2 linked regions of the Danio rerio genome follow. The protein of the gene in region 2 interacts with the protein of the main gene of each other region in a pairwise test. Links are inferred from orthologs where the notes say so. Each region holds a gene or a part of one and is shown on either strand. Other genes may lie near its edges.

Region 1 (3,831 bases), on a different chromosome or scaffold from region 2:
ACGCCTGACCTCATTCATTCAAAGTGAATTGGAACCTTTGAAGCCCAATGTGAATAGGGTGCGAGTTCACTGGATCCTTTCTGAGGTCCACCCAGCTCTGAGAGCTCAAACTCCTTCAGAAACTTCACATGGATGGAAGCTTTTAGCAGTGCTTCAGACTGAGCCGAACCCAGCTTTATGAGCTGTTGTCCGGTGCCAGCAAGAGGATTTCCCCTCAGGTCACCTACAACAGGCACTACGTCATTATCAATCCACTACAAGAGCAAGCTTCTGATTGGTTAACAGCACGAATGTCCACTTAAGTTCAGATTTTCCAACTAGAGCCTAATCGCAACTGTGCATTGAATTGACATGTAAATCACTTGCACTCGAAGCTTTATCCACGTCTGGCATGAACACAGCATAAGACCAATTGTCTGAAGTGGCCATTTCGTAGCCAAAGTTCTTGAAGCTGACATTTTCCTGGCATGTTTGCTTCAGTTAACAGGTACAGCTTCATGACTGCATTTGACTTAAGTTCCAGTGACTTAAGGTAATTTGCTTGTAAGGTTCCAATTGGGAACCACTGACTTAAATGATGAATTTGAAAGGATTCAAATGGCGCTGAAAAATAGCTCAACAGTACCAGTTGGCAAAACATGTGAAAAAAATAAAATGTTTAACAGTGGTAAAAACTAAAAAGCAAAAAAAGGTTCCTGATATCCCATGAATTGGAATAGCCATATTTTTAATGTCTGAAAAGGAGATTTTAAAATTCCATTATATTCAAGATATTCTAGTATGAATCCTGTGATGACCATGTTCTTTACATGATCATATGAAATAAAAGATGCACAAGATTGAGACATTCATTCACAAAACGGCACTCTGGGGGCCTGAAAACAACCATTTAAAAAAGCTTTTTTTTTTTTTTTTTTTTTAAATGGGTAGATATGGTCTTTTAGTGAACTACAAAAGCACAAGCAGTGAAAACTGACATCTCCTGCATTCATATTACATGGCATGTGCAAGTACAACAACTAATGGTGGAACACAATATTGTGCAGCTCAAGATTGATATGTATTATCTTGCAATTCAACACAGTTTTAATAAGAGTTAATTTGATTATGATTCTGCCATTATGAAAGAAAAAGAAAAATAGTGATGCTAGTATTTCTTCCACAATGTGTTCCAATCAATATGTTTGTTGCTCTGAGCCTTGAAACATAAGCCACTGGACATTAAGAAAGAGGTCCAACTCAGTTTCATTTCCAGCGCAGAGCCATTGCTCTTCTTCCGCATGATACTCTGCTAGCATCATCGCATAAACCAGGAGACCCTGGAGTCTGCAATTTTAGCACAGTTCTTTTGAGCAGAAGGGGTCTATAAAGATTCTAGACTTACTTGAATGTTTGTGCTTAATTTCTGGAAAATCTCATAGATTTGATCCTTGAAGCCACGGCTCAGCATTTCATCAGCTTCATCAAGGACAAACATCTTGATCCATTTGGGAGCTGGAAGTAAACAACATTACGTATTTTACTTCTTATACGCTTAAACAGCTCAAACAAGCTGGTCAAAAAGTATGATCAGTTAAATTAGTGATTATCTCCATAACAGGTCAGTCCCGAAAGATGATGCCATCACTTCATACTTTGCCCTGCATGTTGTTTCAGACTAAATCTATGTGTATCGATTACTTACACAGATACCGCCTGTTCAGCATGTCAAACACACGGCCTGGTGTGCCAACCACAATGTGCGGAGCCTCCGCCTGGAGCTTTTGCATTTCGTTCCGCACATTGGTGCCTCCAATGCAGGCATGGCATGAAGCACCCATGTAGTCACCCAAAGCCAAGATTACCTTCTGAATCTAAAGCATAGACAAAAATGCAGAGTTTAAATGAAAGGAACACCTAGTAAACACAAGTACTGTGTACCATTAATGCAAAGCACTGGACAAGTATGATCAGTTGAAAAGGTCTTCTCCACAAAAGGTCAGTCCCGAAAGATAGTCATACCATCATTTCATACTTGTGCAAAGCTCTATACAGTTACAATAATTGTCAAAAAAAATCACCTGGCAGTCTAACAACCTAATTTCCAAACACTAGCAGTAAATAATCCAGCTCATTAAAGAATGATTGATCGATTAATCTGCCCGAAAAACTACATGGATGACTGCTTCCTGCTGAACAGATGATCAAATTATGCAAATTACAAACAAAATCCACATTTATTGACTGATAAAGCAGGAAGAACAGCAAAAGAGTACCTTGAATTTGGCTACTGCCAGAATATGCCGCCTTGGTCTGAGACACACATCTTATTGTGTTATTGTGAGCTCAGGTACAGCATACCTGCTGAGCGAGCTCTCGGGTTGGTGCCAGGACCAGAGCCTGAGTCTCTTTCTGCTCAATCTCCAGCTGCTGCAGGATGGAAATGGCAAACGTGGCCGTTTTACCAGTCCCTGATTGGGCCTGCGCGATAACATCATAACCTATGGAGAAATCAAGCATCAATAAAAGGACAACAAAAATGGAAACTACTTAACTGTTAGTCTACAAAGAGATGAGCAATACTAAAACCGGATCAATATGTACAGTTTGATTACCAGAGAGGTAATTAAAAACTATTTGTAACTTGAGCTCACTTTACCTTTTATGCAGGGAATTATAGCTCTCTGCTGAATTGCTGAGGGTTTCTCAAAACCATATGCATATATTCCACGAAGGAGAGTTTCCTTCAAGTTCATGTCATCGAAATTGTCCGTAATCTCATTCCAGTTGCTCTGTAAAACAATGTATATGAGATTCAATGAGAATCAGATTGATTACACTTAAATGTTGAACATCTTACTTCAATATTAGAAATTCTCCAACTTAAGGCTATTGCATTTATTTGGAGTAGACATCAAGTTAAGCTATCACTTTCTATATTCTGCGATGTCAATCAATCAAAGTTTGTTGATTTTTTATTTCCAAGATGTTAGTCAGGGGTAGCATTTTTTTTTATAACTGCACAAAGTCCACTAAAACTTTGTATGAATTCTCCACCAAATCTCTGACAAGAACTATAGCTTACTCTACCTTGATCCCATTTGAGGGTTAAAGAAGATAAAAGATTTTGAAAAAAAGGTTAATCAAACTAAGGACAGACTGTAACAAATATTGAGAACTTAACATGAAGTCCAACAACCTCAAAATGACCAGTTAAAAAGCAAGATTTAAGTGCAGCCTTGATTTAAATGCGGAAGGTCTGATGACAATGCATGTACACATGCATGTCACTTGTTTTTGGATATTAATCTCACTTCAAAATTTATGTAATAACACACTGTGTGAGAGAGAGAGTTTTAATTTTATTGCCATTTTAGCGTCTATGGCTATGTAATGGCAAAATGAAAATAGATCAAGTAAAAATATTCTAAGAATTAAGTCATTAACAGCAATAAATGTACAAGGTAAAATATATAAATAATAATAATAATGATAATATAGAAGAAAAATCTAAAACAATAACAATTTCCTTTTGATAAAAATTCTACAACTTTAACACCCACTGTGCGACAGGAAAAACCTAGATTGACAAATTGCATCAAAGAGGGGGTAATTGTTGCTTCAAATGATTGAAAAAAAAAAAAAAAAAAAAAACACGGAAAGAATTGTTTGAAAATTAAGTGGGAACAAACATTCTTTGCTGGCTGCATTTGATGTCAGAAAGTCCCCATTCCAAACTTCTCAAATAGTATATGAGGTTGGTGCGTTCAAGTGCTTTGAAGAAAAGCAGAACCATTAATTCATTATTAATTGATAGGGAATCTTAAAGCTAAAATGGATTGCGCTGACAGA
Region 2 (3,831 bases):
ACTGAGGGGTGACATAGTCATGACAGAGTTCTCTGCAAAATGATTCTAATCGAATTCAGGATCGCACCAATTAAATTGTTCACAGTCTTTTCCGTAGCTTGTCAGTGAACAGTGGCTCTGTTTTCAGATGAAGCAGCATTTGCCACAGAGTCGGCTTTACTCACAAGATGCACATGAACACTAGTTTGATTAATCACTCAGCCCAATCCGCTTGTTAGGTCGTGACATATGAAATACTGTTTCCGAGTCCAAGCTGCTACTCATAATATTCATTTATGACCACTTTTTAGTTGCATATCACACAATAAAGTGAATTTTGTATAAAGTCATGGTGTACACACAATAAAAAAAATCCATTCCACTTTCTGGCCATGGAATATTAGGCATATATATATACACACACACATTGTGATCATGATTTCCGAAAGTATTACATCACCTTGTAAGCGTTTATTATTACCATTTGTTGAGCCTCTCCATACAGTTAGAGTGCCTGGACCAGGAAGTCGCTTCACGGAACATCACACTTAACAAGTGAATAATTTGTATACATTTATACCTTAAAAATCTGAATACTGGATGAAAATTATTTTAAAATAACATACCATATACCAAATAACATCAAAATATTTCTGTTTTATGTTGTTTATAATTGTTTAAATAAGCCAAAATAATACATGCCGAACAGCTTTTTAAGATCTCAAAGTTTTAGCTCATAAAAAGGAGAAAGTTCAAGAAACTGGCTGATAAACGGAAGAAAAGGCGGCATTTTTTCAATGCATCCATGTGTACGAACTTTTTTTTCAACGCGATAATTCATTTGACAGTCGTGTGTTAGCAGACCACTGTAATAAATTTATAAAAGCAACACTGACGACCCATGTTTCTAAACAAATTTTCTTCCATTTATTTAATTACGGTTGGCAACACAACATGGCGTCTCTCTGATGTCTGAACACTGTAACAGGTAAAATGCTCTTCGAAGCTATCATGCATGTTAATGAAGTTTGGTTTGAGTCGAGTCTTTTTTTTATGAATTAATGCTAAAAAAGATGTCACATTGTACAGAACGTAACGAATAAACAAAGAACGAATTTTCTGGAAATAATGCAAAAACAACCATTTTTCAAATTTTTTTGTTAAACGTGTGTCCTAATAGTGTTTTTTCAGGAGCATGGGACACATATAACTGTCACCATATAAAAAAACATATTTTGTGACCGTTTAAGTGACATTTAAAGGCGTAACAAGGTTAATTAGATTAATTAGATAAGTGATTGTATAATGATGGTTTGTTTTGTAGACAATCGGAAAAACAAAATATTGCTTCAGGGGCTAATAATTGTAACCTTAAAATGTTTTTTTTTTTTTTTTTTTTTTTTTTTTTTTTTTAAAGAATGCCTTCATTCAAGCTGAAACGAAACAAATGACTTTCTCCAGAAGAACAAATATTATAGAAAATACTGTGAAAAACATCCTTGCTCTAAGAAACATAATTTGGCAAATATTTAAAAAAGAAAAAAAATGTACAGGAGGCCGAATAATTGACTTTATCTGTTTATGAATGCAGTTTTTGCTTGTAGTGTCTTGTATTGTTTTAAAATATTGAATACAGTGTGAAAGGAAGAACACGAGGCTGCTGATTAGTGGTTTGCTCTTTTATTAATGATGCTTGTTTTTTTTTTTTACCTCAGGCAGTGATCATGGTGCTGGAGTCTACAGGCGAGCGGACGCTTCAGATGCTCCTGCAGTTGTTGAAGTGTCTCTGCTCCTCCACCATCATTACTGTGGATCAGATGAGACGGGTATGAAGCGCCAGCTGCTGCTCACATCGAGTTACTGCAGCTTGATGAGCATGTGTAATCTGAGCTCCATCCTCTTGCAGGGCTTTGAACGGGTGTATCTGGACATGCCGGACATCAGTATCGACGTGCCGTGTGCCTATTCGATCCTGGAGCGGTTTGTGGAGCAGAGCTTTAATGCTGGAGTCATCGATAGGAAACTGCGAGACCTCTGTCCTAGTCGGTGAGTCAGAAAGCCTGTTCGTTTGTTTAAGTATAATAGATTCAATGTTTTCTTTCTGCATGCACAGTGGTTTTGAGTAATAAATTTTTTTTCCCCAAATATTTTCTAGGAATCCGGCTATGTCAATAAAATTAGATAAAAAATAAAAAAAACCACACACATTACATAATGCGAGTTTGTCACAGAATAAAAATAGGCAATATCAGGTAGAGCCTTGTAAGTCCATAGTGACTGGCTATTATATAAAGGTGGTTGTGTTGTTATTACATCATTTATATAATGATTTGTATATTATGCTTCATAAGAGTAACAATAATAAATGAATTTACAATGTATAAAAACTGATATATTATTAAAAAAAATTACTTTAATATAGACAAATGGTATTTTAGAAAACTAAGTACATAAACTACATGATGATTAAAAAATATACATCTTAAGCTGCAAGTCAAATTAATGCATTCATTTGTTATGTTGATATATAAACAGCTTGTTAATACATGTATTTTTATTATCGTTAAATAGTTTAATACACGGTTGCAGTTTATCTTAATACTATTAGATTAATTTTCATTTGATAGTATATGAGTATATAAATTACTACTACATAATCGCAAAATGATACTACGCTATTGTCATCATTATTAAAATTTTATTAATATATTTGGTTTTTGTAGTGTATACAATTAATATTCTAATTTTATTAGCATTTTAAGAAATATAACTGATTATATTAGTGTAAATAATATATTTTTGATAATAATGCTATGTTAATATTATTAACATGTTGTTGTTGTTGTTGTTATTATAATAATAGTATATTACTTGTAGCACATTTACAATAATACTGTTGGTTTTATTTATTTTATAAAAATGTTTGTTTTTGGTAATATTAACTACAACAGAGTATTAAGGAAGTCCCTTTGAGGCAGGCTTGTCAAACTCAGTTCCTGGAGAGCCGCAGCCTTGCAGTTTAGTTCCAACCCTGCTCCGACATGCATCCCTGTTAGTTTCAAACAAGCCTGAAGGACTGCAGTAGTTTGATCAGGTGTGTTTAACTAGAGTTAAGCCTGTTTCACATGGCAAGCGTAAGTGGCGCGTGAGCAGAGCATGAGCAGAGTGTGTTTTTTCGACATCCATGTTAACAGATTAGATCTTTCATACCTCACACAGCAGCAGCGCATCAGCGTGAGTCGTAAGCGTCGCTGAAGCAGCAGTTTCGTCGCTGGGTCTATTTTTGCCATGCTGCTCACGCTCAATTAAAGTGACAGTGCATTGCTAATGACCAAAACACATTGAATGACAGTAGAAAGTAGCAATTTTACCTAATAAATGCGCTAATATTATCAACTGATTTTTATTTAGTCAATCAAATAAACTCAAACGATCAAAAACTGCAACAAATATTTATTTAGGTCCGAACTACAAAACCAAGTTCAAAACAACTTTAGTATCAGTTTTGCTTAAGTTGCACACTAGTGTTGCAGGAGAGGGGAAGTGGCCACTTTAAGACTGCTGTTTACGGGAGTTGTAGTCCATAGCGGCGTGTATTGTGGGTAGTGTAGTTCGACACGCATGCTGGGTGATGTGAGCTCGCTGTGTGCTGTGCAGCTGAAGCAAAGTTTCAAGAGTATCTGAATGCAGCCTTTATGTTGCAACCTGAGACCGCATCACTCAGAGATGCAATGTCAGACACAATGCACTCAAATGTAGCTAGTGACGTCACTGTGAGGGGTAGGGTTAGGGTTGGGGTTAGGTGAGCCCATTAAAAAGCATTGGGTGCAGCCCAGATTGCACTGCACCAGG

Evidence for each region.
Region 1: the proteins of pdcd4b (region 2) and eif4a2 interact in binary tests that used the Homo sapiens proteins (3 or more experiments, as listed by UniProt). The two-hybrid records come from large-scale screens. The link is inferred for Danio rerio from reciprocal best matches to the Homo sapiens genes PDCD4 and EIF4A2.

The regions. Positions count from the first base shown.
Region 1 is NC_133177.1:8,053,941-8,057,771, reverse strand, and holds part of eif4a2 (eukaryotic initiation factor 4A-II), read right to left. Parts: intron 2,772-3,831; coding exon 2,639-2,771; intron 2,481-2,638; coding exon 2,341-2,480; exon of another isoform or gene 2,256-2,340; intron 2,015-2,255; exon of another isoform or gene 1,944-2,014; intron 1,854-1,943; coding exon 1,685-1,853; intron 1,635-1,684; exon of another isoform or gene 1,564-1,634; intron 1,495-1,563; coding exon 1,385-1,494; intron 1,362-1,384; exon of another isoform or gene 1,183-1,361; intron 1-1,182. UniProt on the Homo sapiens protein: ATP-dependent RNA helicase which is a subunit of the eIF4F complex involved in cap recognition and is required for mRNA binding to ribosome.
Region 2 is NC_133197.1:31,538,940-31,542,770, reverse strand, and holds part of pdcd4b (programmed cell death protein 4b), read left to right. Parts: intron 1-1,694; coding exon 1,695-1,805; intron 1,806-1,885; coding exon 1,886-2,025; intron 2,026-3,831. UniProt on the Homo sapiens protein: Inhibits translation initiation and cap-dependent translation. May excert its function by hindering the interaction between EIF4A1 and EIF4G. Inhibits the helicase activity of EIF4A. Modulates the activation of JUN kinase.